Linked DNA regions of Lonchura striata. The main gene of each other region encodes a partner of the protein of the gene in region 2 in a complex. Links are inferred from orthologs where the notes say so. Each region holds a gene or a part of one and is shown on either strand. Other genes may lie near its edges. The genes, in order: TRADD and NGFR.

Evidence for each region.
Region 1: the proteins of NGFR (region 2) and TRADD are in contact, whole or in part, in an NMR structure (PDB 7CSQ), measured with the Homo sapiens proteins. The link is inferred for Lonchura striata from reciprocal best matches to the Homo sapiens genes NGFR and TRADD. Residues at the interface, in NP_002498.1 of Homo sapiens: Glu345, Glu346, Glu348, Lys349, Leu350, Asn352, Gly353, Ser354, Ala355, Glu379, Ala380, Cys381, Arg384, Glu420; in NP_001310481.1 of Homo sapiens: Thr201, Phe202, Asn211, Ala275, Glu276, Arg278, Arg279, Thr281, Gln283, Arg284, Glu287.

What each region holds. Positions count from the first base shown.
Region 1 is NC_134615.1:15,184,799-15,200,001, reverse strand, and holds the start of TRADD (tumor necrosis factor receptor type 1-associated DEATH domain protein), read right to left. Parts: upstream 7,762-15,203; 5' UTR 7,641-7,761; intron 6,446-7,640; 5' UTR 6,436-6,445; coding exon 6,294-6,435; intron 3,755-6,293; coding exon 3,477-3,754; intron 2,675-3,476; coding exon 2,482-2,674; intron 1,561-2,481; coding exon 1,253-1,560; 3' UTR 1-1,252. Other genes in the region: HSF4 (heat shock factor protein 4), read left to right, coding at 11,940-12,062. UniProt on the Homo sapiens protein: Adapter molecule for TNFRSF1A/TNFR1 that specifically associates with the cytoplasmic domain of activated TNFRSF1A/TNFR1 mediating its interaction with FADD.
Region 2 is NC_134627.1:7,914,236-7,929,504, forward strand, and holds the start of NGFR (tumor necrosis factor receptor superfamily member 16), read right to left. Parts: upstream 5,454-15,269; 5' UTR 5,398-5,453; coding exon 5,356-5,397; intron 895-5,355; coding exon 753-894; intron 1-752. UniProt on the Homo sapiens protein: Low affinity receptor which can bind to NGF, BDNF, NTF3, and NTF4. Forms a heterodimeric receptor with SORCS2 that binds the precursor forms of NGF, BDNF and NTF3 with high affinity, and has much lower affinity for mature NGF and BDNF.

The DNA.
Region 1 (15,203 bases), on a different chromosome or scaffold from region 2:
TGGAGCCACATTCTTTGCAGAGATGGTACCTGCATGAAGTCCTGCTTCCTTGGAAGCAAGGGGCAAGATGGAAACAGATTCACTCACACATGAAACAAGAACTGAAAGCAGGAGTCAGTCCTAGGGTTTGGGAGATTTCTCTTGTAAACCATTTTTACCCTAAAAATCAGTGCAGATAAATCCAGGCATGGTTTCAGCTGATGTTTGATTGTCACACAGTGACATCAGTGTCAGGGAAAGGCTCTCTGTAGGTCCTGGCACCTGTGGGACACAGCAGGGTGAGCTGTTCCCTCCAGCCTGAGGGTGGTTAGGAAGTGAGTGAAGGCAGGAGCAGCCAGCTGAGTCTGGTGATTGCTCAGCTCTGTGGTCTGAGGATGGCATTTGATGCTGCAGTGCCCTGAGGGCAGCAGTTCCAAACCATGCTCCACAGGTAACTTGCTGATGAGGAGACTCTTCCAGCATTGTTTTGTTTTCTATAGCTGCAGGCTCCCTTAGGCTGGCAGGCAAGAGTTAATCAACATATTACTGTCTACCACAGATGAGAAAAATGTTGACAATCATTGCCTGAATTTGAGTTTGTCCATATTGTTTGTTCAGTGTCTGCCATTTGTTGTACAGCAGCAATCTTTTGCCCTGTGGAAGACTGTGGCTGTCCCAGGTAGTGGGAAAGCCTTCAGGTGGTGAGAGGTGGGAAGGAGCTATGACAGAGCAGGGCAGAACAGATTCTCTTGCCATGGATGTTCTTTGTTCTTCAAAGAAAGAAGGAAAATAATGTAAAATTGACTTTTCTTTACTTTCTCCTTTTTCTTTAATTGATGTCATGGCTAAGAGCAAAAATGTCTTCCATGTAGAAATATATTGCAGCTCTCCAGGTGATGGCCCTGGACACAGCCTGAGAAGCAGTGGCAGTTTCTGCTTCTATGAGAAGCCTTGCTTGCTTTTCTCCTCTCCCTCATTCTCCCCTAGGGCTCTCTGTCTGGCTGCTTCCCTGTCACAGTCCTGAAGGAAGTCAGGGTGAAAGCCTCTCACCAGTTCACAGGAAGGTAGTGCTATATTTCTGGAAACACAATGAAATAAGGAAAGTCAGAGGTCCATGCTGGCTTCTGCAAACACAGAACCTCTCCCCTGAGCATTTCCACCTAGATGGAAATCTGTGGTGATATTCAAGACTTTACATTCCCAGACACTGGCAGCAGTTTCATACAGTAGCTAAAGCAGGAAAGCCCTTAGCAGTGGCACTGTCCTTTGGGCTCTAGGAGCAGTCCTCAGTGGAATGGAGGCCCAAGAGCTCCTCAGCCAAGCTGACGAGCCCGTTTTCCTCCAGGGCTGCGATCAGCCGTGCTATGGTGGCCTTCTTGCCCTCGGACTGGATGAACCTGAGGAGCATCTGGTAGGCTTGTTCATAGAGTCCCTCTCGGTCGTACTCCAGCGCCAGGTTGTCAATGACAGGGTCACGCAGGGCCCGGCAGGATTTCTGCAGAGAGCGACCCACCTGCTTCCACTTCTTGGACACGGACTTGGCAAACTTCTGGTGGTCGTCGGGTGTGATTGTTCTGTTGTCTGAAAGGGGCAGAGGCCAAGTAAGACACAGAAGTTTCCTGGCTGACGTGATGCAGCTTGGGCCAGTTCAAGGTTTGGTCAGTATTCTGTGGAGCAGGGAGTCTGAGCTCCCTGCCTTGCCCAGCTGTTCCCTTACAGAAATCCTCCCACAACAACAAAGCATCTGGGCTTGCCCCTACCCTGCAAGCTTGGCAAGGCCTATTTTCTTTTTTTCTCCCTCAGAACTGTCCTGTGGTTTGCCAGAGCTGGTTTTTTTGTTTTTTTGGGATGGACACCCTCTTCATTTGTTTTAGCCTTTCAAAGGCCTTTCTGACAAAATCCCCTGTTCCCTATCTAAACATCCTCAAAACACTGAAATGCTGACACGAGCCCTCTCCTCAGCTGTTAAGCACTGGAGACTATACACAGTTTAAGCAAGCTCAGAAATGATCGCTTATCTCAAGCTGATATTGCTGTTGAGACTCTCTGAAAACCCTCTGCAGGGACAGACCCCAAAGCCAGCTGGTGAATTGAGGGAGCCTGGACAAATCAGTCCTGTCTGAAAGCAGGGCTGAGGGTGTCCATGGTAACTCCCCCAGCCTGATCCAACCTACACTATTAACTCACCTCAACCAAGTGACATAGAAGAAGAGAAAAATACTCTATAGTCTTCCTTCCACTATTCATTTTAAAATGTGAGGACTGTGGAAGGGACAGAAACTCTGAAATATGTGGTTCTGTGCCACCCCTGAAAAGAAAACAGGTTGATGCCTGATCTGAAGCATCATGGCAATATCTTAGGACTACTGTAATTTCTTTCTTATGGGATGCTGGGAAGTGCTTTGTTTCTCTGAGGTAGACCCCAATATGCAGTCATGATAATTCTCCCTCCTGGGCTGTGAGTCAGACCAAGGCCTCTGTTGGTCAGCTCTAGCTACTCACCAAACTGCTGTCCCTGAAAGATGAAGGTGAGTTGTATGGGAAGGGAGCCGCCTTGAGGAGGATAAGGCTGAGATGGGGACTGCAGAGACGAGCAGTCTTTTGCAGCCATATTGTTGTTGGTGCTCTGGTGAAGCACCAGGCTCTTGAGGCTTTCCTCCAGCTCCATGATCTCCTCATCTGGCAGGCGGTCAGGCTGTAACACAAACAGCATCAGTGACTCTGCAGGGACACCAGCCTGCAAAGCTGTGCTTGCTGATGCCTAATATTCCTATTGATAGTGAATGCCTGTTTCTCAGGACCATTTAGAGGAACCAGAGCTAAAGTTCCAGATGGAAAAAAAAAGAGGAGGGGAACAAGTCAGTGAGTTTAATCATATCAAGTGCCTTGTCGTGAGATGACAAGATCTCACTGTTCTTGCAAGCAGGATTAGAGTGCCAGTGCCAAAGTGTGCAATGAACCAGAAGTCAGATGAGAGAGACTTTGCCTTCAGAAGGGCAGCCTACTCTTGCTGCCAGTAGATGCTGTGTGTCCTCTGACACAAGTTTTTGTGATGTGCAGTGTTTGCACTCACTTCCACTGCTCATTTCCAGGTGCAGTTACCTTTGCCACTCTGGGAGGAGGTGGTGTGTGAGGCAGGGGAGGGAGGTGCAGAGCAGTGATGGTTCCAGCCAGGGCTGCTCCTCTCTGCCTGCCTCACAGCTGTACTGAGGACACTTGTGTGTAAGCTGCACTGTCTAGAACTCCTTGTCTTAGTGGGGATAACAACCACGCTAGCTGTTATACACAGAAGGCACAGAGAGTTAGCAGGCTCTTTGCAGGCTGCTTTAGGTAACTCTATTGCCCTTTTTTCTGAGGAAGGGCAGAGCTATTTCTCCACATTAGAGTTAAGATCTAAAGGACTGAATGCTCCATCAGAACAAGACTTGCACCCACCTCTGCAAGCCCAGTGCCACCCCTCCTCATTGTTTTCCAGCCTCTCTCCCTCTCTCACTCACCTTTTCTCTGTAGATGCACTCCAGGCAACGATCCTCATCCTTCAGCATCTTGTCAAGGTGCTCACTGCCAGCCTTCAGCTCCACTTCCAGAGGCACCATGGTTGTGGCCAAGCAGAGCTGGAGGTGACTCTGGAGGGACTTCTGGAGTGCTCCTTCGCGGTAGCTCTGCAGGAAGCGGCGGCAGTTCTCCTCCTTGCAGAACCTGAGCTGGACTATCAGGTGTGGGTGGCTACAGTGCACCTTGAGCATGTCCACACCATTCACGCTGCCAGTGGAGTCTGGCAGGGAGAAGGGAGCACAGTCACAATCCAGGCATGAGCCAGCCCACACAGACCCCACCCATCCACAGCAAGCCTGCAATAGAGGAGCTTTTGCAATCTCTTTGTGATAAAGTCCTCTGGGATGGAAAAATGTGTTAAACCAAGAGGGAAAGATTAAGTTCATGCTGCCCTGCCTCCACTGATCTCCATGAGTATGGTGTCCAACATAAGATGTATGGAACTACATCCCAGGTAATTATATCAATACTGCCCTAATAAGGGCAAGTTTTAAATTTGAGGTTCCATCTCCAGGACGGAGATAGTTATGATAAACTGGTAGCATACAAAAGTTTTATAGATGAAAGCTCAGTTCACCTCAGTGCTCAGTCAGCCTTCAGTCTTTGTGACTGGAGTTTTATGCAGTGATGGAGGTCCTGGAAAGAAACTCAGTGTTTCCTCTCCACCTGTGCCTAGAGGTAACTTTTGTTTTTCTGAGCCTTTAACATGTTTCACAAACAGCAAATGACAGATCCTGCCACAGGGGTTAAGCTGCTTGAGGTTGGGCCTTGACTTGTTATTTTGCACAGAAAATTAATTAATGGTAAAATCTAAACAAGGAGAAGCCAGGGATGTACCCTGTAACATTAGTGCAGGAGGAGCACAAGCGATGTGGAAACAGAAAATGCCAGGACTTAATTCTTCCTTCTCCCAGCAGAATTTAATTTTTATTAGCTGTGCTTATTATCCTTATCTCCACAGGATTTTACATGCTGCTGATGAGTTCTAAGTATGTGTTTTTCTCTTTTTTTTGCAGCAGAGGCCTTTGTGAGGCTGCTGTACTACTTCCAGACCTGACTGCACCTCATGGGCTGTCACTGAGAGCTGTATGGAGACACCAGCTCACACTGGCCCTACATCAGGTAAATACCTAAACTACGTGTCATGGCATGGAGGACAATCTTAAGACAAGGCAGACTTGTGTGCTCCACATTAAGCAGGGCAAGTAACCTTGTATTTAAAAGTATAGTATCTAACAGTGGCTTTACATGTTTACTAAGTCCTGTTTGCATCTGGTCTAGTTTGGACCACATGTGTAACTGACACATGGGTTTAGGCACCTAGAAAAGATATTTAAATTCACTGTGGATGATTTTTTATCATTTCCTTCATGCTTTGCTTTTTATGAGTGCTTATTAAACAAAACTTCCATAATAGGGCAAGAGGGCTGTGGAGGGAAAGCTGCACAGACATGGAAACCCTTATGAAGAGTGTACAAGACAGCTGTAAAGCAGCCTCAAAAGATGGGACTTTGCAGGCACTTCTGCATGAAACCTCGGGCAGCTTAAGATTTCATGTCCTTTTCAGGTCTGAATAAGCATGATAGGATTTCAGTTTTGTGAGCTGTCCTTTAAATGTGTGAGTAGATTCACATTTCAGTGCCACAGAGCAGCAATAAATCAAGCCTAACTGGACAACTGTATCAGGCTGCCTGCTTCCTGTTTCCTGTATTTGGAATGAGCTGCAAAATGAGCAGGCCTGTATTGGATAAACTGACTTGGCATGGTTTCCAGAAGAAACTGCAGAATAGTTAGACAAGCCCAATTAAACAATAGAGTCTCAGCTGTGTAACTGTGTAACCACTGCGAGTCTTCCTAGGTAAGTGTGATAAACTCTTCAAATTACTATCACCCTGCAGTGTGCTTGGTCAAGGGTGGATAGAGAAATATATGGTTTTACGGCTATTTGCATATCAAGTAATTCTTTTATGTAAATAGGGTTACATACACCTCAAGCTAATGTGTGTCTGCTTATATCAGAATCTGAATTTGAATTATATCAGAATTTGAATAGAAATTAATTTATACTGGCTATTACTTGATTTAAAAAACAGCTTCTCAAAGCAGAAATCATGTTTCTGTGGTGCTATAAAGACAGCAATTAAATCTTCTTTCACAGCAATTGCAATCTTTTCCCCTGTTACATAAATGGGTTTAAACAAACATTCATAAAGTTTGATAATTCACAGGATGGTTCAAGTTGGAAGGAAGCCCAGGAAGTGTCCAGCCCAAACTCCTATGCAAAGCAGGGTGAGCTCTGAGGTCAGAACCAGTTGCTCAGGGCTTTATCCAGTCTGTCTGAAAGCCCTTGAGGATGGAGAGTACACAGTCACTCTGGGCAACTGCTTGACTGTCTTAATGGGGGAAACATTTGTTCTTTTGTCAGGTATCTACCTTTCATTTCAATTTGTGCCTCTTGCCTCTCATTCCCCATGCACCACTATGAACAGTGTGGCTCCATCTCTCCCTCCCATAGGTATCAGCAAGCTGTTGGTAGGTCCCCTGAAACCTTCTCTTCCTCAGGCTCAACAGGTCCAACTCCCTCAGCTTCTCCTCATAGCAAAAGTACTCCAGCCCCCAGCCATCTTGGTGAACCTGTGCTGAGCTTGCTCCACCTCATTGCCTTTCCTAAACAGAGCGAGCATGAGCTTTCCTTACCCGTGAGGGTGAGATTAAAGAAAGGCATGGCACTGCACACCAAGATACCAGAGGATGGGTACCTGCTAACGCCAGCTTCAGGGCCTTGAACACACAAGGCTTCTTCTGGGAGCTCTCGTAGAGGGACGGCAGAGCGATGGTCTTGCAGGTAGACTGAAGGAAGAGGTAAGCACTGCCAGTCCAAGGAGGGGAGCTGCCTGCCATCTTCAGCACCCTGCAAAATCACACAGGCAAGCTCAGAGGCCATAAGGGAAATGTCCTGATGCCAGGAGAATGTTATAGCAGAGGCACAACAGCTTATGGGGATATTCTCTTACTTCTTGGAGCAGTGCTGATGTTGCTAAAGCAAGTGTAGCCTTTGAGGGGTTTACTGTTATTCTGTAAAGCACACCACAGTGGGACACCATATCCCAAAAAGAGCAGCTCGCAAAGCTTTGCTTTCATTTTCCACTGCAGTCCATTCATTTCGAAGTCCAAAGGTACTCTGAAGCAGAGTTTCAGTCCGTGTGCCTCTGACTAGCCAAGCTGGCAAAATGTGAAATGATTGAAGCACTCCAGGGACCACCCAGCAGTCCTGGCTGTGGCATGCTCCCATGGACTGAAGCTCTATTGCAACCAGAGACGTTTTCCTTAAGGTCCTGGTGGCTTGGTTGTTCACAGGGCCCAGAGCTCTTGTAACAGGATACTCTACACAGGCAGGACAAGGGTAATAGGTTTAAACTAAAAGAGGGTAGATTTAGATTAGATATCAAGAAATTTTTTATAGTGAGGGTAGCAAGGTACAGGCATAGAGAGGTGGTGGATGCCCCATCTCTGAAAATATTCAAGGCCCGGTGGGATTGGGCTCTGAGAGACCAGACCTAGTTGAAGATGTTTCCGGTCACCGCAGAGGAGTCAAACTGGATGGCCTTGGAAAGGTTCCTTCCAGCCCAAACCATTCGGTGATTCTGTAGCTCGGGGTACCCCTCTGCTTTGTTAATGCCCTTTGCTCTTGTGCCTCTGCAGTGTTAACCCAGCGGGTCTCTTCCCGTCCAGCGAGCACTGCCCCGTCCCAGCCCCCGGCCAAACCGCTGCGGGGTGCTTCCAAAACCAGCCCCGGACCGTAAGTCACGTTTGCCATCACGGTCATTGCCTTTTCGCTGACTTCGGCAGGCGTCAGGCCGCCGCTGCTCAACTCCCGTCACAGCCGGGCTGTGAGGGGGCTGTCCCAAAGGGAAAAGCGCCGGAGCAGCCGCCGGCTCCATCCCGCCGCGCTGTGCCGCCCGCGGGCCCGGCGCTGCCCGGCTGCCCGCTCGGTGCCCGGTGTGCCCCCAGCCCGGCACCGAGAGCCCGCAGCGGCCCCTCCAGCCCGGCCCCTCGCTGTCCCGGCGGGACCCCCGCCCCGGCCCGGCCCGGCCCGGCGGCGTTACCTCCTCAGCGCCGGCCTCGGCCCCACACTTCCGCCCCGGCGCGGCGCCGCGGCGGGCGGGGAAACGGGAAGGCGAAAGTAAATCCCAACAGCCCTTGGAATGGCCGGCGGCGCTTCCCTCCGGTGCCTGCTGATTGTCCGGGCCCGCCCCGGGGGCAGGGGCTTGCGGACACCTTGACGCCTCAGGTGTCCCCGCCGCAAGGCCGCCCACACAGCTCGGTGGCTCTGGTGCAGGTGAGGGTGTGACATCTGTCAGAAGCACTCCGTGCAGGTGGCTCCAGAGCTGCCCGAGGGATGCCATGCACGGATCTCTCTGGACCATTAGGGATGGAGGCCAGTGCGGTGGCTTGAAGCCCCTGCGTGCCTTGTGGCTGACACACGGAGGCTGCAGTTGTCAGCTTTTCCCCGTAGTGCTGCTGGTGAGAGCTTGGATAGGTGGAGAGAATGAAGCAGCATTTCCCAAGTCCACGAGAGATTCTGTGCCAAAGCATGATTTGGGTCTCCTTTGCTCCTCAGGTAGCAGCCTCCTGCCCAGGCTGCATCTGCCTTGCACAGGTGCCCTGTGAGCTGAAGGATAACAGCAGCTCCCTTGTTTGTCCCCAGCTGGTGAAAAGCTGGCATGGGCCTGGGGCCAGATTTTGGGCTGACGTGCAAGCTGCAGGCACTCTGGCTTGGCAGTGGTTTGTGCAAATTGGGCGCCTGAACTGCTAAAAAGAGCAGGAAGCATTTTAAAACACTAAAAATACCTATATATCTGATGCTATTTTAAAACAACGGCATTTTAACAATAAACCTAATTCATTTGCTAAAGCAAAGATGTGATTCAAATAGAACTGTAAAGAGGTTAACCTAGGCTAGATCTCCTGGGTGCTCTGGTTCACAGGGTCAGATCCAGGGGGGCAGGCAGTTTCCACAGACCCCTTCAGGGTCAGCAAGCCTGATGGGGCCAATGCTTCTGGAAACAAAGCATTTACTTGCTAACAGTTTTAGCAAATGAGTTCATACATTTAAAGGTCTGTCTGATAGGGCTAAGTGAACTTGAACATCCCAACATTTCACTATAAAAGCCAAACCTGAAGCAGTGTTGGCTCCCAGAACCAGGTGGGAACTACAGTGTGACTGCTGTGGGGAGCATCACTCACCCATGTCCTGGAAATGTTCTCTCCTTGAAGCCAGTCTGCCTTCTGTATATTGTGGGGGTAAAAAAAGAATGGCTAGCTGCGCCCCAGGTTTCTCCTCTGCTGACCCTTGCTGAGTGTGTACTTTCTGGGAGCATCCCTTGGGGCTAAATCAAAGTGCTTGATGAGCACTTGGAGTTTCATCTTGTTATTTCCCACTTGAGAAGTAAAGATGGTAGTGAAGGGAGAGGCTGTGGCTCAGTGGGGCTCAGCTGGCACAGAATTGGGGTGTCAGGGTTCAGAGGCAAGTCTGCCTGGGGGGCTGGGGCTGGGATGGGCCAGGCTGCCCTGAGCTGGCAGCAGTCAGAAGGCTACAAGCACACTCTTACTGTCTGTGAGATTTATGATCCTTCTTAATGGCTCCAAAGGCTTTAAGGAAATCATAAAACAAAAGGAGCTGAATATGAGATCTCATTTTGCTGTAACACTTTGGCTGATATGTGTTACAGACAGTATTAAAAGCAGCTAAAAGTAGAAGAACAATGTCCGAGCTGTCAAGGTGATTTTCAGAGAAAATGGCAGAAGATGCTGAGTTCCCAGGAAGGAAGCAGGATGGTGTCACTTGGTGCTGTAGCTGGGCTGGGTGGGAAGGGGGTTGTCGCTGATATGATGGCAGATAAGATAGCACAGCTGCTGTGCTGCTGCCACCTCACACTCCCAGTAAGGAGTCACGCTTCAAAGCAGCACATTCTAGAAAAACGTGCAGTTGTGTTCCCCTCTGCGTTACGCTTTTTGCGTTGCTGCTCCGTACTTGCTTCATGGGTTTCAACTCCAGCTCTTCTTTGAGGCTCTTTTGGTGCACAGGTTTTTATTTAAATGAAACCTGCACTGCTGAGGGAGTGCTGTGACTCTGGGACCTGGGGCTTCCACAGCCCCAGAGAGGGTGTGCCATGAAATTCAGAGTGAGACTGTGAGATCAGGCCCACACTCCAGTGCTGGCCTGGGAAGGGAAATATTTGCTTTTAAAATATGAGAGGGCTGAAAAAACATGTCATGGTGGGAGTGTAGTTTGTGCAGAAATCTAGAAGAGAGGTGCAACACATTTTGGAAGAAGGCAAATGGAAAAGTTAGGTAATGATCTGATGCTCTAAACCTTCTTCCCAGATACTTACTCTTCTGCATTATAGTTCACAGGAAAGGTTGATTAAAATACATGTTTCCCTTATTGTGTCAGACATTTTAAGTGCAGTTTCTGCAAATTGGAGTCAAAGTCAAAAAAGGATTTTTTTCCAAACTGCAACATCTCATCCCAGGCAAGGACCACCATCATTAAGCTGCTGGTTTCTACTCTAGGCCTTCTGTTGCACTATCAGTAAAAAAATGGATATGTAAGGCTGTTTTCTGTGCAGAGCTTCTGCTTGCAAAGAGGTTTTTCCCCCACAGTTTGAGAAATCTGTCTCAGCTTTTTGAATACCAGTGCAGCAGTACCAGAAAATTCCCTTGCATTTTTATTACTCAGAGTAGCAAAACCTCACTGTAGGAAAAAAGACCATTTTTTCCCCAAAAAGCTTTCATCTGACATTTTTAACTCTTGAAAAGTATCACTCAGCTTCTTAGGATTAATTGAAAAACAAAAACAAAACCAAAACAAACTGTGAAACAACTGACCAAGAGATTTTCATAATTTTTAAAGTTCAAATTCAAAATATAGTGAAATTTCAAGTTTGAAACCTCTGTAGTCCAGTTTGATTTGTTTGTTAAATTCTAATGTGTGTGGCCCTTTTTTTTGTTGCTGTTGTTTTATTTTTCTCAATTCTATTGAGAATTAATTGCAGTTTTGGATGTTTTCCCATATTCATACCTGACTGAATTGTTAAAATATCTGCTCCAGAGCCAGAACTGTGGCGTTACATCCCAGAAGAAATCCTTGTTTGAATATTGTATTATCTTTCTCTTTGAGATGGACACAGAAACTTCCAGGTACGCAGACAGGGGGCTGCAGCTGTTCCTTCCAGCTCTGTTTGGCACTTCATAGAGGTCAGGTGAGAGAAGTGGGGTCCTCTGCCCAAGCACCTTTGCAGGAATAGCCTGATCCTTGTTTCCAGTGCGTGTCAAACATCTACTCCACTCTTCCATGGCACTGCTGACCTTGTGACTTCTATGTGTGATGATTTTACCTGGCATGACTAGCACCTGCTTATATAAAATTTGTGTCACTTGCTGGTTTTCGGTTTTAGGGGAAATACCACATTCTTAGTACACTAAGTTGCCCTTTGAAAATGACAAGAAAAAATTAATGCACTGTTATCCTGACACTAATCTTGTCTCTTCTCACCTTCTGACTCTTTCAGTGTTTGGCCTTAAAGGACTCTGTAGGAATCAGGTGAGAAATCTGTTCCATTTTTTAGCAGGAATGTTGAGCTTTGCAAGTTTTTGCTAAGGACCTCAGAAAAATTTAATATTGATTTTATATTTTATTATGTTATTTAAAGAGCAGTTTCTGAGTTGAAATTACTCTGGCATTAAGCCACACATGTATTTAGAGCTATTTAAGATTTTATATTGAAGATAAAACCATATTGTCTAATAGACTCTATGTGTAGCTGTTTTTAGCATCCTGTTTTCTCATGCAAGAGCTAAATAATTTCTGTTGACAAATAAGATAGTAGCTAAACCTGCTTACACTTTTGACTTTTCAAAGTCTTGCTGAAGATGTACAGCCTGGGTCTGGCCAGCTCTCCTTCGTCTATGCCAGCCAAAGTTTAGGACAAGAAAATTACAAACTAACAACTCAGGTGCCTTCAGCCACCTGGGATGTCTGTGCCTGGGTGTCCCACAGACTCTGGGCAGGTGGGTTTGCTCTGGTGACTTGCCCACCTCCCAGCATAAGGTGGGCAGCACGTGTTCCCTTTGCATGACGCTGCGTATTTATTCACAGCTCTGCGAGATCGGCTGCAGTGCATTTTCATTCTGTGCATTGTTCTCTGGGGCTGGTGATGCCATCCCATTGTGCTGAGTTTTTAAGAGTGCGAGCAGCACTGCTGATGTGACTCCCTGGACGCCTACTTTCCACTGGCCTGGGATAAAATTGGGTGGCTCATTCTCTGCGGGACGCGGGCGCGTGCAGGGACGCAGGCGCGCCCAGGGCAATGGGGTCAGTTTAGCTGGGACACTGCAAAGCTATGCAGGATTCACCCAGCTCTCTGGTGATGGATGGATACTCCAGCAATGTCCCAGCCTTCCTAACAAAACTCTGGACGCTGGTGGAAGACCCTGAAACGAACCATCTCATCTGCTGGAGTTCTGTAAGTACAACAGGTATCGGGTGTCACTAATGCCTGCAACAACAGGGAAAACCCAGGTGTGAGGCCTGAGAACTGCACGGCACAGGAGCTGCCCTCTGCTTGGCAGGTGCTGCCCTGGCAGAGTGCAAAAACAGGATACAAGAACAGGCGCTTTTGGATATACTTGGTATTATTTATCTGAAATATCATGGCATTTCTGTTTCAGAGGGGCAACTGTTTCGTGGGTGTTTTAATGATGATATTTACACATTTCACTTGAAACATCCTAAAAAGTGTCTAATTTTCTGATTCTAAGAATTCCACATGCTTTGAGAGAAATATTTTTCACCTTGCTTGAATCTGCAGCTCCCTAACATTTTCTAGGAAATATGCAAAACCCTTAAAAAGTTTCACTGCTGTTTGGTGTTATCTCATATGTGCTTCTTAGCAGCTTCTCACAAATGTCTGGGTGGAAGGCAGCAGATAAAGAGCACTCAGAACTCAGATTCAAACCTGTAATTTAAACAGATCTCAGACTGGCACCCTGAATTGTTTTGGAAGAGCTTTACTTGATTTTTCAATGAGTCTGTGTGATGATAAAAGTGATGTGGTTATATATTGTCTGTACAGCTTCACGGGGATAGTTTGCTTTGCTTTGGCTTCTTATTTTTCACAGAGGCATTAATATACTAACTGCAAGCACAGAAAAAAAATATTTGTCCCCTTTATACAACAATTGATACCACATTGTGGTTTTGACCTACAACTTGCTGCAAGTAATATGATTTGTTTTCAGCAGGGAGTTATTAGATAAGCTATGTACTTAAACTTGTTTTCCAAAATCAAGAATCTAACAAAAGCAGATTTAAAGAGAGGTGGTAAAAATGTCTAAAGCAGCCTTTCTTTTATATACTTTGTGTACAGTAGACTTTTCATTCCAAACCTGAGACAGGATTTCAGCTGCATTGATATCTGTGACCATGGTTGTTTGATGCTGGTATTACATGGCCATACCTCTGAGAACCACCAAATTTTAAATTTTAAATAAGGATTTTAAAGCTATAAATAATTTTCTAACCTGTGTAAATAGTCCCCTCTCTGTTATACTTAGAACACTGTTATTTTACATTGACCATCACTGTGCTTTGATTTCCTGGAAACTAACATGCAGCTATATCCTTGGAGGTTTTGGTTAGGCTTTTAGGTGTCTAATTTTCCTGTTGTTGCAGGTATCCGTGTTTCGCATATTCTTCAGCTTCTATATATTGGTGATGTTGGAGCTGAGAGATTGTGTGTATGCCTAAGATTTCTGGGTGTAATCAGTAGTTCTAGAAAACAGGACCCATAAGGACCTGTGAACTGTTTCTTAGGATGAAGAAGAGATGGAGAGGAAATGCAGTAATGGTTTATATATACACTAAAGTCTGTTGTGAGGTGGAAAGGAAAACTCTGCTCTCTGTGTCTGTAGTAGATTGGACAAGAAGTAATTAAATTCATTTTTTAAATGGAAATGCAGTAAGAGAGAACTGGCAAATTCCTGGACTAGCACTTGTCTTGTCAGAGCACAACATGCCTGTCCTGGTGGTTCTGTCAAAAGCAGTTGAGATAAGCATCTGCCACGATTGTTGTGCTGCAGAGTCAGTTTTGCTTTGGGCAGAGAAGACTTCCAGAGTTTCTCTGAGTTTGTGCTCCCATGGTGTAAAACAGCCACGGCACAGCTGCAGTGTGGGAACAAACTGACACATGTACAGTTCACCGGTGAGCACACAGTAACCCCAAGACCTCTTGTGTCTGTAGGAGCCTTTCTGAGTGTGCCAGCTTCTGAGAACATTGTGGCCCTGAATTCAAAGGAATGGCCTCTCATGAAAGGCCATAAGGACTTGTTAAGGTATACAAAACTCTTGTGCTTCTCATTTTCCATCAGTGGGTCCAGCCTGGGACACAAAGCTGTATCCCAGAGTAAGGAGGCAGAAGCACAGGAGAAGCAGAATAAACCAGCTCTGTCCCCAGGGCAGTGCCTGCAGTTTTGGGAAACCCTGGTCCCTGCTGTCCTGTCGGCAAACTCTATCTGTGAGGATAATTCCAGCATGCAGGCTGTCAGTGAATCTTTGAAGTGCTTGATCAGCCTTTGCTTCTGCTGCATAGGGTAAGGAATGATAGGAAAGACCCCAAAAATGGTCAAAGAGCACTGCTGAGGCACAGTCATGTTCAGTGTTTGCAGTAGTAAGCAAGGAGCAAGAAGTGCAGCTGACCCAAAGTCCCATGTTAGTGGGTGTTAATTGTTAGAGCTGCAAAATGAGCCTGAGCCAGAGGCAACTGGCACCATTTGGTGATGGAAATGCAGTGTAGGACAGCAGGGTTTGCCAGCTGGCTGTTTTCTGGTGGCCATGGGCAGGCTGCAGGTACACACCAGCCCCTCTTTAGTCACTGAGCTGCACTGGGATTGAGCAGCCCTGATTGCACTCCCTGTTTTAGAGACTTCCAGACTTCCCTGAGAGCACCCTCACAGCTGCAGCCCCCCGATGGGTGCGAGGTGGGACTCACACCACTGGTACCTCCTACTGCACACAGAGCCTGAGGGCTCTTGCAAAACACTGTCCTGTATCACAAACCAGCCCCTGGCATGCCCAGCCAGGCTGACACACCTCTGTCTGATGTAATAGCACTGAACACAGCAGGAGGATGACTGTGGTGTGCTGGTCTCAGACCCCTCCCTGCCAGCATGGTGCAGGCCCTGGTGTCTTTAGCTCTTGTCCCTTGAAACTCAGCTGCAGCTGAGGCAAGTCCCCCCTAATATCTGCTGATGTCATTGTAGCTGTCAGCAGGTAGAAGGCCAGGCAGGGAAAGCACATGGCCTGCAGTGCATCTTCTCTGCCAACAATCCCAGGCAGTTTGCCTTGTTTGGCAGTCATGGATCTTTGCAATGCAACCCCAGAAATGGAAGATTTATCTGATTAACATGTGTGTTGCTAGCTTGGACTGCAAAGCGTGATTGTCAACATTTTGTCGGTTGCCCTTGTGGTTGTTTACTATTAAAAATAATCAATAAAATGTGTGTAGAGCTTCTGGGCAAGTCTGGTGTCTCCAGAGATGATTTGCTTCTTGCCTTGCTGTGTTTCTTGTGCCATGTCTCCAGGCAGTACTCCCTCCAGGGCTGCTGTG
Region 2 (15,269 bases):
CCAGGGGGTTCCAGAAGGATCCAGGGGGTTCCAGAGGGATCCAGGGCCACAGGGGTCCTCTCCCCATCCCAGCAAGGGATGGCTGCTGTGTTTGCAGGTTTCCTTTCCTCCACACCCAAAATCCCTCTCAGGGAAGAGATGAGGGTGGGGAGGAGGTTTTCTCTTGGTGGGATCCATCCCTTGGTGGGATCCATCCCTCACATGGATCCGTCCCTCTCTGGGATCCATCCCTTTCTGGGGTCCATCCCTCTCTGGGGTCCGTCCCTCTCTGGGGTCCAGCCCCGTTTCCCGGCCGGGCTCAGGGAGGCAGAGCCGTCCATCGATTTCTCAGGACGCTGAGGTATTTTTAGCCCTGCCCTGGCTCCTCCAGCCTCCTGTGCCTCCTCTCCACTCCCTCCCAGCCCCGCTCCAGCCCTGCCCCTCTCCCATCTCCTCCCGGAGCAGCCCTGGCTGCTTGCAGGGCTCAGGGAATCCGGGAATATCCCAGTCCCGAGGATCCTCCCGTGCAGGCACCATCCCGACCCCCTCCCGGTGCCTGGCAGCGCTGCCCAGACCCCGCTGTGGGGCTGTGCCCCTCCCCGTGCCCCAACTCCCATTTTGGGGCAAGAATCTCCCGTTTTAAGCAATCCTGTCCCCAGAACCCGGCCCTGGCTCAGCGGAGGGGCGGGCCGGGATCGCTGCGGCGCTGCCCGGAGGGAAGGAGGGATGCTCGGGCAGGGCGCACGGCCTTGCCCGGGGCTGGGGGCACTCACTGTCCAGGCAGGGCTCGCAGACCGTCTGGTTGAGCCCGCAGGGCTGCACCACGCCCTCGCCCACGTTGCAGACCCGGCAGCACTCCCCGCTGGCCGTGAACAGCTTGGAGAAACAATCGTCCTTGGAGGCGCCGGCGGGGCCCTGGGGAGAGCAGAGCCGGGAGGTCACTCCTGCCGCCCGGGGGATGGGACAGCCGGGGCCGGGCCCGCTCCGGGGACACCCCGCTCGCGCTACGTGCAGATCTGGGAGGGAAAAGCGCTTTTCCGGGCAAAATTCACTCCTCGGGGAAAGCCCTGCCGAGTTGTGCGGCTGGAGGGAGACGGCGGGGCGCCCAGGGGTGTTTTGGGGTGCTGTGGCCTCGGTTTGTCCTTGTCGCTCCTCAGCCGCCTCCCCCGAGGGCTCTGCGCCATCCCGGGGGGCTCGGCCCTTCCCAGCCTGGGGAACGGGAGAGGAGAGCAGAAATTCCTGCCTCGGCGGGGGCTCTGGAGAGCCTGGCTGGCACCGCTGCCCCCCAAAACCCGCGGGCACCGGCAATGAGGAGCTGAGGGAGCGGCAGGACCTCGCTGTGCGCCGGCACCGGGTGTCCCTGCTGGCACAACGTGTCACCACCCCCGAGAGCCACGAACATCCCACGGGCACCCCCACGGGCCCCTCTGCAGCCCGGGGAGGGCCGAGCTGCCCCCCAAAACCCAGGAACCCCGTCCCGCAGGTCCCAGCGCTCCTCCCGCTCCCGCTGGCCGCAGCCCCGGGGCCGCGCCGTCCCTTGGCCACCCACCCACGGCTGATTTTGGGGAAGGGGGGAGAGGCTCGGGGGAGCATCTGGCGGCCTCGTCAGCGCCTTGGCCGCGTCCCCGCGCTCGGTGCGGCGCTCGGAGCCCCGCGCCGCATCCGGCGGGGCCGAGACAATGGAGCGCCAATTCCAGGCAGCTGAATGACAAAGTGCTCCAATTACCCTGCGCTGCGAGGCGGCCGCTGCCCCTCCCCGCCCGGCTCCGCCAGCCCGCTGGCAGCCCCTTCCTCCAGACCCCTTTTCCAGACCCTTTTCCCAGGCTCTTTTTCCAGAATATTTTTCCAGACCCTTTTCCCAGGCCCGTTTCCCAGACCCTTTTCCCAAGCCCTTTTTCCAGATCCTTTTTCCAGACCCTTTTTCCAAGCCTTTTTTCCAGACCCTTTTACCAGAAGCATTTCCCAGGCCCTTTTTCCAGACCCTTTTCCCAGAACCTTTTCCAGACCATTTTTCCAGATCATTTTCCCAGAACCTTTTCTAGACTCTTTTCCCAGACCCTTTTCCCTCTCTGGGTGGGCAGGAGGGATTGGAATATCGGGAATCCTCCCAGTACCCCCAAATATCCCCTGGGAAGGGTTTGGGGTGATGCCATGCGCCGCTCGTGGGGGCACATTTGGGGATTTTGGCCGCAGCTCATCCCGCTGCTCCATTCGGGCAGGGTTTGGGGAGCTCACGGCTCCCTGGGAAGTGATTCCAGAGGCTGGGAATGGGGCTGGGGCAGCCGGGCGTGCCTGGCTGTGACTAGTGACCGGGATGGACACGGGGGCATCCAGAGCTTCCAGGGATCCCAGAGCTTCCAGAGCTTCCAGGGATCCCAGAGCTTCCAGGGATCCCAGAGCTTCCAGAGCTTCCAGGGATCCCAGAGCATCCAAGGATCCCAGAGATCCCAGAGCATCCTGTGATCCCTGAGCTTCCAGGGATCCCCGAGCTTCCAGGGATCCCAGAGCATCCCCTGATCGCAGAGCACCCCACAATTCCAGAGCTTCCAAAGATCCCAGAGCATCCAGAGATCCCAGGGATCCCAGAGCTTCCAGGGATCCCAGAGCTTCCAGGGATCCCAGATCTTCCTCCAGTCTCAAAGCTTCTAAAGATCCCAGAGCATCCAGAGATCCCAGATCTTTCCCTGATCCCAGATCTTTCCCTGATCCCAGACCTTCCCCGATCCCAGCCCTTCCCCGATCCCAGACCTTCTCCCAATCCCAGACCTTCCCCCAGTCCCAGACCTTCCCCAATCCCAGACCTTCCCCTGATCCCAGATCTTCCCCCGATCCCAGCCCTTCCCCGATCCCAGCCCTTCCCCGATCCCAGACCTTCCCCCAGTCCCAGACCTTCGCCGATCCCAGATCTTTCCTCGATCCCAGCCCTTCCCCAGTCCCAGATCTTCCCCGATCCCAGCCCCTACCCGATCCCGGATCTTTCCCCGATCCCAGCCCTTCCCCGATCCCAGATCTTCCCCGATCCCAGCCCTTCCCCGATCCCAGCCCTTCCCCAATCCCGGCCCTTCCCCGATCCCAGACCTTCCCCTGATCCGCGATCTTCCCCGATCCCAGCCCTTCCCCGATCCCAGCCCTTCCCCGATCCCAGACCTTCCCCCAATCCCAGCCCTTCCCCAATCCCAGCCCTTCCCCCGATCCCAGCCCTTCCCCGATCCCAGCCCTTCCCCGATGCCAGCCCTTCCCCGATCCCAGCCCTTCCCCAGTCTCCCATTCCAGCTCCCCCACGCCGCAGGCAGCTGCGGGCGGTCCCGCGTGGGCCGGGCCTGGCCGGGCCACCGGCTCCGCTCCCGGGCCACCTGTCCTGTCCCCTCCCGCCCCCGCGCCCCGAGCGCTCCCAATTCCCGGCTCCAGGTGCCGCGGGCCCCTCGCTCCGGGGCTTTCCCGAGCCCCCCGGCCGGGCACGGCACCTGGCCCGCGTTAGGCTGCGGAAACGCGCGCTGTTAGCGCGGCTCCCGGTGACAAAGCCGCGGCTATTAACGCCGTAAAGCATCCTGACAGCTGGCCCGGCCCGGCCGCGGCCGGAGGGCGCAGGCGACACCTCTGGAAGCTCTTAATTGCTTTTTGGAGCCGTGCCGGGGGGGTCGGAGCCCGGGCAGGCGCTGCCGGGGGAGGACAGAGCCGCTCCGAGCGGGATTTCGGAGTCTGGCACCGCGGAGCGCCCGGCACCAGGAGGGGATGCTCCAGCTGGAGACGAGCCCGGCTGCGAGACGCGAGCCCGGCGGGCGCGCTCTGCCTCTCTTGGCCGAGCACCGCGTCTGGGAGAGGCCAAATCCCGGCTCCCGGCGCCTCCCGAACTTTGGGCAGCTCGGGGAGCCGCGTCCGAGCGCTGCGGCTCCGGCCGGCCCTGGGAGGCTCCGCCGCTCCCGGGCCGAGCAGCGCAGGCACCGAGCGGCGAGCGCGGCGGGCCGGGCTGCGGGGTCCCGGGCTGCGGGGGCTGCGGGGGTCCCGGGCTGCGGGGATCCCGGGCTGCGGGGATCCCGGGCTGCGGGGGTCCCGGGCTGCGGGGGCTGCGGGGTCCCGGGCTGCGGGGGCTGCGGGGGTCCCGGGCTGCGGGGGCTGCGGGGGTCCCGGGGTGCGGGGTCCCGGGCTGCGGGGGCTGCGGGGGTCCCGGGCTGCGGGGGCTGCGGGGGTCCCGGGCTGCGGGGGTCCCGGTGTGCGGGGTCCCGGGCTGCGGGGGTCCCGGGCTGCGGGGTCCCGGGGTGCGCGGAGCTGGGGGAGCACAGCCGGGGTCCCTGTTGTCCCCCCCCAGGAACACTCCCAGCCCCGCAGGTGCGGTCCCGGAGGGCAGAAGCAGCTCCCCGCGGTGACCCCGGCGCAGGGAAGCGGCGATTTGGGGACATCAGAGCCCGGCCCCGCTGCAGCAGCCGGGGAGGGGCGAGAGGGCGATGCCCTGGGGGGGGAATGGTTGGGATCCATCTGGCTGGGACAGCTCCGGGCCCCCCCGGCCGCTGTCCCGCTATCCCGGGGCGCTTTGGCCATCCCGATCCCGATCCCGGGGGGCTGTGGGGGAAAGGACCCCCCGGCACGGCGCTGCCAGCCCCGCTCCGCTCCTGCACGGAGCCGCTCAACTCCGCCTTTAATATCCTGCCCGAGGGGTGTCCGGCTGCCTGACGGCCCCCCTGGGACCCCCGGCAAATCCTGCCCCCCAAACAGCCCCGCTCCTGCCCCAGCTGCGGGCTCGGAGCCCCCCGGCCCCACTCCGGGCACTCCCCTCTCTGCTGGCCCCCCCACCCCAGCCTGCCCTGAAGTTTTTTGTCTGGGGCACACGGCGAGGGCTCTGCCGGGAGGAAAAGGCTCTCAGCCTCAGCTGTGGGGCACCTGGGAGCCGGGAAAGTCTGCGAGAGGTTGCGGGGGGTGCGTGCGGGGCAGGTGATGAAGGCACTGGGGGGGCTCCCCCCGGGCTGGGGCTCCGTCACTCTTTGCAGTGGCAGAGCTCGGGGCAGCGGCACCGGAGGGGCTGCGGGACCCCATCCCCACCCAGCTCCCCACGCCCCCTCCCACCGCACCCCAAAGAGCTCTGCTCGCCTCCCCGGGGCTCTCCGGTGCCCCCGGGATCCTCCAGCCCCGCACGGCGGGGACCCCGCTCCTGCCTGTGCTGTCCGCTGCCCCTCACCCGCGGGGCTCCCACCCCGGGGTCCCCGGGACCCTCCGGACACCCCCGTGTGAAGCCTCCGGGCCCCTCCATCCCACCCCCGCCCGGTGCCTCGGGGCTGTCCATCCCCCGGTGCCTCCGGGGACGCTCCCGGTGCCCCCGGGACGCCGCATCCCCTCCCCGCCGGGGCTGTCGGGGCTGCCCCGGGCGCCGCTCCCCGCACTCACCGCCGGCAGCAGGAGCAGCAGCAGCGGCAGGAGCCCGGCCATGGCGGGGGCAGCGGAGCGGGGCCGGTGACAGCCCCGGAAGCCGGAGCGCGGCCGGGCTGCCCTGGCTCTGCCGCTCTCCGCCGCGGCGGCGGCCAGAAAAGAGCTGCAAGTCCCTCCTCCTCCTCCCCCTCCTCCTCCTCCTCCTCCCCGCCCCCGGAGCATCACGGAGCGGCCGAGCCCGCACCCTCCGCCGCCGCCACACAAAGCCCGGTTCCCCCGGGCCCCCCCGGTCCCCCCGGGCCCCCCGGGCCCCGCCGCCCGCCCACGAAGCGTTTCTGGGGCGCGCTCGCTCCCAGCCCAGCCGGGGCTCTTCAGCCCATCCACGGCTTTGCCTCCTGTGCCGTCTGCCCGTCCTCCAGCCCCCTCGGCACCCCCTCCTCCCCCGGTCCGTCTGTCTGTCCCCGGCCCCGGGGTGGCGTCACCGCTGCCATCGCGGCCCCAGGGGCGGGATGGGGTGACCAGACCTGCCCCGGCTGCTGGGGACAAGGGACAAAATCCCCGGCCCGGGGACACCCCGGGCCCGTCCCAGCCGGGCGGTGTCACCCAGAGGCCCCCGAGGGGGGCACGCGGCGGGGACTGAATCAAATCTTTGTATTTCTGCCCTCCACACAAAGAAATCCCATCTGGGCTCCCCGTGGGCCCTGCAAGGTCCCCGCGTGCCGCCCTCCTTTGTCCCGGCGCCCCAGGGTGACTCTGCCTGGCCTCCTGCCCTCGCCGGGCCCGCAGTGCCCGCAGCTGGCAATGCCAGGGCTCCTTCCCCACCCCGCAGCGCTGCGTCAGCCCCGGGCACGGCTCCGCGGGGCCACCCAACCGCGGCACCGGGCACCGGTGCCACCGGGAGCGGCCCCGCCTCGCTGTCGCTGCCCCGGGCTGGCTCCTGCGGCCGCGGTGGCCACGGCACAGCGGATTTGGCCTCGTGTGCGTCCAGCTCCAGGTGTTTCCTCCCCGCTCCGGGCTCTGCAGGTGCTTTTGGGGCTCCCAAAATCCAGCAGTTCCCAGCCCTGCAGCCACCGGAGCCCCGAAATCCCGCGGGTCACGGTGGGAAAGCGCCACTCCGCTGGATTTCCTCTGGAAAAGCCAATTCTGGAGCCTCCGAGGTGCTCAGGGCCGGCTGCTGCCGCTGGCTCAGCCCGGGAAGGGCTTCACGGAATTCCCTCTCTCGCAGCTTTTCCGTGGGATTAAAGCCGAGCCAAAGCTGCCGTTTGTTCTCGTCACGGGCAGAACATCTGCGAGCCACATGGAGAAGCGTTCGCAGCCAAAAAAGCCACGCTGGGGCCAGGTGGGAACGGGCTGGGAGGTGCCCGGGGGCTGGGATGCCCACCCGGGGGCTGGGATGCCCACCCAAGATTGGGATGCCCACCCAGGATTGGGATGCCAGCCATAATCCCAGCGTTTTAAGGGTTTTTTCTGGGATCACCGATGACACCGCAGCCCCAGTGGAATGGGAAGGGGTGACCGAGCTTCCCCCGGCTGCAGGGGACAAAGGGACACCACCCTTGGGGACATTCCCGGGAGCAGACGCGAGGCAGGGCTGGCACAGCAGGGAGCAGCCGCGGGATCCCGCAATTAATTCACCGCAGCAAGTGGCAAATCCAGATGTTCTCCTCGGGCCCTTGGATAAATCCCTCCTCCCCCTCCTCCTCCTCCTCGTCCTGCCCGTGCCGGGGACACCGAGCTCGTGGCCCGCGGTCCCCGAGCCCCGTCCCCGCCGCCGCCGTGTCCCGGTGGGAGTCTGGGGAGCATCCCGGGAAAAGCCGCAGCCCTGGCAGAGCCCGTCCCGCCCAGCCGGGCTCCATCTGCGCCGGGCTGGGAGGGAAAATTCCCGCTCCCATCCCAGCCCCCGCGGCTCCTCTGGAGAAGGGACTCGCGGAATTCTTCACCGGATCACACGCGCCTCCTTTTTCCCGTCCCCAAAACAGCTGTGGCGCTTTCCCGGCTCCGTGAGTGACAAAGAACCTCCCGAAGTTCTGGTGTCACCTCCTGGAATTAAACCCAAAGGCTCCGGGGTTTTTTTGTGGGGGGGGAAATTGAACTCTTGCAACCCCTAAAGCCGCCCCAAAATCCACCCACCTGCCACTGGCTCTGGGGTGGGGCTGATCACTGTCCCCAAAAGCCTCGTGGCCATCGGGGGGGACCCAAAATCGGCTCCCGGTGCCAGCAGGGCACGGCGGGGCGGTGCCAGGGCTGGGTCTGTGCACTGGGAGCAGCTCAGGGAGGGCTCGGCCCCGCTTTTAATCACAAAAAAATCCTTCCATGGATTTTACAGGATTTCCCCGGCGGCTCCCGAGCTCCCCTCAGGCTGACGGGGTCACGCATGCAGAGGCTCCCATGCTGGAGGGAGCGCGGAAAGGGCGGGATTAATTAGCGAAAGGGCAATTAGAACTGGGTGAAACATCGCGTGCAGCCCCTCCCGGCCCCGCAGCGCTTTCACCCCCTCGTTATCTCCCTTCGGGCTCCTCCAGATCGCCCGGGGGGCTCCAGGGGATGTTTCCCCTCTCCCTCCACGCCGGGGGGCTCCGAAAGAGCCCCCAGAGCGAGCCCGGCTTAAACACTCGGGGCCTGCGGAGGTTTTACGGCTTTTACTCCAAACCGGGTGAAATTCCCTTCCCGACACAGCCGATTCTGCGGTGAGGGCGAGACAGAAATGAGGATGAATTAATAACACAGCTCGGAAGTTATTCCTGTAGGAACGGGGCCAGTTATTCCATGGAAATGGGGCCCAGTTTTTCATGGAAGTGGGGCCCAGTTATTCCCTGGAAATGGGGCTGTTATTCCTATAGGATGGGGTGAGTTATTCCCATGGAAATGGGGCTGTTATTCCCCATAGGGTCAGTAATCCCATGGAAATGGGGCTGTTATTCCTATAGGATGGGGTCAGTTATTCCATGGAAATGGGGCTGTTATTCCCATGGAAATGGGGCTGTCATTCCTACAGCAATGGGGTCAGTTATTCCATGGAAATGGGGCTGTTTTTCCCATAGAAATGGGGCTGTTATTCCCACAGGGATGGGGTGAGTTATTCCATGGAAATGGGGCTGTTATTCCTATAGGATGGGGTCGGTTATTCCCATGGAAATGGGGCTGTTAGTCCCACAGGGATGGGGTCAGTAATCCCATGGAAATGGGGCTGTTATTCCCACAGGGATGGGGTCAGTTATTCCATGGAAATGGGTCTGTCATTCCCACAGGGATGGGGTCAGTTATTCCATGGAAATGGGGCTGTTATTCCCATGGAAATGGGGCTGTCATTCCCACAGGGATGGGGTCAGTTATTCCATGGAAATGGGACTATTTTTCCCATGGAAACGGGGCTGTCATTCCCACAGGGATGGGGGTGTCACCCCAAAGCCCCGAGCTCCCCAGCGCTCCCCAAGCCCCCCAAACGCGGCTCCCGTGCCCTCGGGGGTCCCGCTCTCCTTTGGGATTGTCTCCCGCTTTCCAGGCCGGCGGTTCCTGCCTCCATCCCCGTCCCTGCCCCGCTCCGGCAGCTCCCGGCCTCCCCCCTTCCCTTTTTCCCTTTCTTCCCGTGTTTCGCAGCGCGATCCATCACCCTGCCGGCAGCAGGGGGGACTGGGCATGAATCTCTCCCTGCTCCGCGGGCCCTTATAAGGCCGGCCTGGAGGAGCGGCCGGGAAAGCCGAGCCGGGCTGGCAAAAACAAAGCCCGGAGAGAAAGCGGGGCCCGGGCAGCCCCGGGGAGAAAATCCCGGCGGCGGGGGACGGGCAGGAGGAGGCACGGGCCACGCCCGGCAGCGGCAGCGGCGATATCGATGATCGATCGATCCCCCCGCGCCGGGGCCGCTCCTCCTCCCCGGGCCGGCTTTGGGGCCCATTGATCCCGGGGTTGGTGCTGATGGATCGGGAATTCCGCTGCCGGCAGCGGAGTGTCAGCGGGGACGAGCCGGCCGAGAGATTTTTTATCTTCCTCGGCTCAGGGCTGCGCTTTTCGCTGCGTTTGGTTTTCGTTTGGGGGTGGGGATTTGTTTTAATTGACTCGGTGCTCGGCTGGAGTAGAAGGAGATAAAGGTAGAATGGAAGAGGGATGAGTAGAACGGAATAGAGATGAAATAAAGATGAAATAGAAATAAATTAGAAATAAAATAGGAAAAAAGAGAAAAAATATAGAAAAAATAGAAATAAAATAGACATGAACTAGAAATAAAATAGAGGTAAATAGAATAGAGATGAATAGAATAGAGATGAATAGAGATGAATAGAGATGAATAGAGATGAATAGAATAGAATAGAATAGAATAGAATAGAATAGAATAGAATAGAATAGAATAGAATAGAATATTACCACTGGAAGGGCCCTAAAACAACCCTCTAATCCCACTGTGCAGCCCGGAGGAGATCCAGTGGATTTTTGGGCTCCTCCCAGCCCACTCCAGGCCGGGATGTTCTCCATTGCCTGCCCGCTCAGCAGTGCCTCAGTTTCCCCTGTGGAAGCGGGGGTGGGATTTTCACCTCCGGGTGGGAATTTCACCTCCGGGTGGGAATTTCACCTCCGGGTGGGAATTTCGCCTCTCCAGAGCCTCTTCCCAGCAGTGACAGACGCAGGAGCGGGGGGAGCTCTTTTCCCAGCCCGCCGAGATGATGAGGGAATTTAATTGCTGCCTTCATCCCTTATGCAAATGAGCCGCGAGCACCTGCGGGAGCGGAGCCCGGCCCCGGCCCCGTGTCCCGGCACATCCAGAGGGATCCTGGGGCCGCTCCCTGCCCAGCTCAATGACCCCGCTGCTGGTTTTATTTTCATTCCCGCTGCTGGTTTTATTTTCATTCCCGGGTTCCCGGTGGGGATCGGTGCAGGGAGGAGCCCGGGGAGGGTTCGGCCGCTCCGGGAGCCGGGCGCGAGTTTGCCAAGGGCCGGGCAGCCGGGATCGATCGATCGGGCCGGGATAATCGCATTGGGACGGGCAGCGCTGTCTCGGCCCCGCTGGAATTCTCCGAGCCAGCAAACAGCCAGGAGGAAATTGGGTAAAAGCGATTTTATCCGATTGTAGCAGGGATTTAATGAGGGCCGGGACGTGACAGCCACGGGGAAAGCGGCCGAGGGGAGGAGGGCCTGGAGCAGGGAGAAGCTCCTGGGAGCACCCAGGGGTGCCTGGGGGGGTTTAAAGAGGGATCCCCGGTGGGAGCGGAGCCGCGCCCTGGCAGTGACGGACGGGCCGGGGCCGCCTCCCCGCCGAGCGCCGCTCCGGGAAGCGTTCGCAGCTCCCAGACCGGCAGCGCCGGGATTTGCTGAGGCCGCTGGAGCTCCCATCTTCCCTGGAACCCATTTCCACGGCATGAATCACCCAGCGGAATGAACTCAATTAGTCCAGACAGAGCAGGAGATAAATCAGGGTCCCATTAGGAAAGCTGGAGGTGATTTATGGCCCCGAGCGGCAGCGCTGCCTGCCTCCCTTCCCTGCCCGTCTGCAACCTGCTCCGCAGCCGCGCCGGGGCCCGGATCCTCTCCCGGGGCCGGGGATCCTCTCCCGGGGCCGGGGATCCTCTCCCGGGGCCGCGGATCCTCTCCCGGGACTGGGGATGCTCTCCTGGGACTGGGGATCCTCTCCCGGGACTGGGGATCCTCTCCCGGGGCCGGGGATCCTCTCCCGGGACTGGGGATGCTCTCCCGGGGCCGGGGATCCTCTCCCGGGACTGGGGATGCTCTCCCGGGGCCGGGGATGCTCTCCTGGGACCGCGGATCCTCTCCTGGGACCGCGGATCCTCTCCCGGGACTGGGGATGCTCTCCCGGGGCCGGGGATGCTCTCCTGGGACCGCGGATCCTCTCCCCAATTCCAGCTGCTGGGGTATAGAAATCTGCAAATCTGGGCTGGAAATTCCCCGATTCCAGCTGCTGGGATATAGAAATCCGGAAATCTGGGCTGTGATTTCCCCGAGTTCAGCTGCTGGGGGCTTTGATCCGTGCCGAGCTCCCCGGGGCTCATCCTGACTCATCCAGGGGCGCTCCTGGGGGGATTGGATCCCCCTCAGCAGCCGGGGATGAGGGGAGGGGGCCGGGAAGGAGCTGGGTGGGCTCCTCCAGGGAGATCAGCCCGGATTTGGGGCGTCACCCTCCCTGGGGAGGTTCTGGTGCTGGGTCTGTGCTCCGCGAGCCGATTTTATCAATCATTTGTCAATCAATCATTCATCAATCGCTTATCAATCGTCATTATCAACCCAGCTGCTCCGGGCTCCTTCCAGCCGTGGGAGGGGCCGGGGTTTGCCGGGCCCGACAATTCCCGGGGCAGCGGCGGCTCCGTCCCCGCCGAGGGCTCGGGGGCAGCCCGGGGGCTCCCCCGCATCCTCAGCCGGCGTTTCCCAGGGCTCAAAAAGGATTTTTGCCTCCCGGGCAAAACCCCTGCCCGGTGCTGGCCCCGGGAGCCGCTCCGAGGGCTGGGAATGCCCCGCGCCATCCGCAGCTCCTTCCAAAAAACGACCAAAAACAAAGTGCCGGGGGCTGCTTTTCCCCAGGGACAGCTCGGGTGCGGGGCTCCATCTCCTCCGAGTGACCCAAGGGTTTGCCCGCAGCCAAGGGCAGCTTTTGGGGGACACAAACTTTGCCCCAGGGGATCCCTTCCTGCACCCCCACCTCCAAAATTGCCTTTTTCACCTTCTCCCCCCTCGATTGTGCTCCGGGCGCGGCTGGACGCGCCCCTCCCCTTCCCCAGGAGCCGCCGGCCCGCCCTGCCGGGAGTCAGCGGGGAATTGGGGGATCAACGGCGGGCAATTAGCGCGCCCCGGAACCGGGCGGGCGGCGGGGAGGTCCCGGCGGGGCCGCCGCCGGTGCCGGGGAATGGCAGCGCTGGGCCGGAGCCATGCGGGAAGCGAGGCCCGGGGAGCGCCGCGGGCGCGTTTGGCACGGAACGGCCCCGGCCTGGCAGCCGCCAAATGGAAGCGCCGGGGGGGCCCAGACAGGCCCGGGGCCGGAGAAACCTCCCGGGGCCACCGAACCCCCCGCGGGCCCGGCAGCGCTGCGGAACGAAGAGGCTGCGCTGGGGGGAAGCAGGGGATGGGAGCCCCCGGGAGGGAGCCCCGATGTCTGTGAGCCCCGATGTCTGTGAGCCCCGATATCTGTCACCCCCCATTATCTGTGACCCCCGATATCTGTGAGCCCCGATATCCGTGACCCCCATTATCTGTCACCCCCAATATCCGTCACCCCCGATATCTGTGATCCCCCCCGATATCCGTGACCCCCATTATCTGTCACCCCCGATATCTGTGACCCCCGATATCCGTCACCCCCATTATCTGTGACCCCCGATATCTGTGATCCCCCCCGATATCCGTGACCCCCATTATCTGTCACCCCCGATATCTGTGACCCCCGATATCCGTGACCCCCATTATCTGTGACCCCCGATATCCGTGACCCCCCCGATATCCATCACCCCCGATATCCGTGACCCCCGATATCCGTGACCCCCATTATCTGTCACCCCCGATATCTGTCACCCCCAATATCTGTCACCCCCCGATATCCATCACCCCCGATATCTGTGACCCCCGATATCCGTGACCCCCATTATCTGTGACCCCCGATATCCGTGACCCCCCCGATATCCATCACCCCCATTATCTGTCACCCCCGGTATCCGTGACCCCCGATATCCATCACCCCCGATATCCGTGACCCCCGATATCCATCACCCCCATTATCTGTCACCCCCGGTATCCGTGACCCCCGGTATCCGTGGCCCGTCGCTCCCTGCCCATCCCGGCCCGTTCCCAGCCTCCCCCCGGGGCTGTGCCCGGAGGCAGCGGGGGCTCGGTGACCCCGGGCCGGCTCCGGCTCCACAAAGCCCCGGATTGTTCCCCCCGGCGGCCGCCGCTGCCCCTGCGGACACCGGAAAACGGGGGGGGGGCGTTTCCAGGGATTCCTGCGGGCCCGGGGGTGCCCCGGGCGGGTCCCGTGCCCCAGAGGGTGCGCATCCCGGGGGGCACAGCGTCCCCCGTCCCACGGATCCCACCCCAGGGATCCCACCCCATGGATCCCATCCCACCCCAGGGATCCCACCCCAGGGATCCCACCCCATGGATCCCATTGATCCCACCCCACGGATCCCACCCCACGGATCCCACCCCATCCCATGGATCCCACGCCATGGATCCCACCCCACCCCGTCCCATGGATCCCACCCCATGGATCCCACCCCACAGATCCCACCCATGAATCCCACCCCACCCCGTCCCATGGATCCCACCCCATGGATCCCACCCCACCCCGTCCCATGGATCCCATCCCATCCCTCCTGCCCAGGAATGAGCAGGGACAGGGACAAGGACAAGGACAGGGATCGGGATGGGGATCAGGATCGGGACAATGACAGGGCCAGGACCGGTCCCGGGGCGGGGCTGTGACCTTGGCCCGGCCCTGAGCGGGACTCGCCCCTGGCCGGGGCCCGATCGATCCCGGGGCTCGGAACGGGCTCAGGAGGGACCCGCCGGGGTCACCCGGCCGCGGACGAGCACCTGGGACTAATTGCAGGGAATAAATGAGCAATTAAGGGCGCTAGGGCAGGGCTGGAACATCCCAGACCTCCGGCTGACCCCCGGGCGGTATCCCTGGAAACGGCCGCACCGGGATCGGGATGCTCAGCCCGGCCGGCACCGGCGGCACCGGGGCCCTCCGAGCCCCCCCGGCGGCGGAAGCGGCTCCGGCCCCACCGGCAGCTGGGGCGGCCGCACTGAGGCGCCTTTGTCCGGCACAGGGCTGGGTTTACCCGGGGAGAGAAGGGTTTGTCTTGGAGCAGGCAGGATTTACCCGGGGAGGGCAGGATTTGTCCCGGGGAGGGCAGGATTTATCCCGAGGAGGGCAGGATTTGTCCCGGGGAGGGCAGGATTTGTCCTGGGAGGACAGGATTTGTCTTGGAGGGGGCAGGATTTATCCCGAGGAGGGCAGGATTTATCCCGGGAGGACAGGATTTGTCCCGAGGAAGGCAGGATTTGTCCCCGGGAGGGCAGGAATGGAAGCACCGTTAAGGGCCGGTAGCACCGTGGAGAACCGGGCAGCCCCGGGCGGGCAGAACGGGCCGGTCCCGCTGCCCCCGCGGCGCTGCGGGCACCGCCCAGCCCGGCACGGGGGGCTCCGCTCGGGGCTGCACCCGGGTTATCCCCGCTGGCACCGGGGACGGTCCCGCTGCTCCCCAAAACCTCCGCGATCCTCCCACCCACCCCAAACCTGGCCCGCCCGGGGGTCCCGGTGCCCGCCCGGGGTCCCGGTGCCCGCCCGGGGTCCCGGTGCCCGCCCGGGGTCCCGGTGCCCGCCCGGGGGGATTTTTGGCTCGCCCGGGGCTGGCTGAGCGGAAGGCAGGCTGGCTTTTAAAGCAGATTAATTAAGCTGCACTGCGGGGCCAGAGCTCAGAATGCAAACAGCCGTAATTCGATTTCTCTGACTTGCAAATCGCGGCAGGGAACGCGGCCGAAATCACATTAAGGCCGTTTCCACCCCGAGCCGTGTCCTCGCAGGGCTTTAATGCAGTTTCACTAATTGAATTTCAACGCTTATTGAGCTTAATTCGGGTTTGTGCCGGGCGCGGGGCTGGGCTGGGACCCCCCGGGCTGGGCTGGGACCCCCGGGAAAGGCTGGGCTGAGACCCCCGGGAAGGGCTGGGCTGGGACCCCCAGGAAAGGCTGAGACCCCTGGGACCCCCAGGAAGGGCTGAGACCCCCGGGAAAAGCTGGGACCCCCTGGAAATGCTGGGCTGGGACCCCCCGGGCTGGGCTGGGCTGGGTTGGGACCCCCAGGAAGGGCTGAGACCCCCGGGAAAGGCTGGGCTGGGACCCCGGGGAAGGTTTGGGACCCCCAGGAATAGCTGAGACCCCTGAGACCCCCGGGAAGGGCTGAGACCCCCGGGAAAGGCTGGGCTGGGACCCCGGGG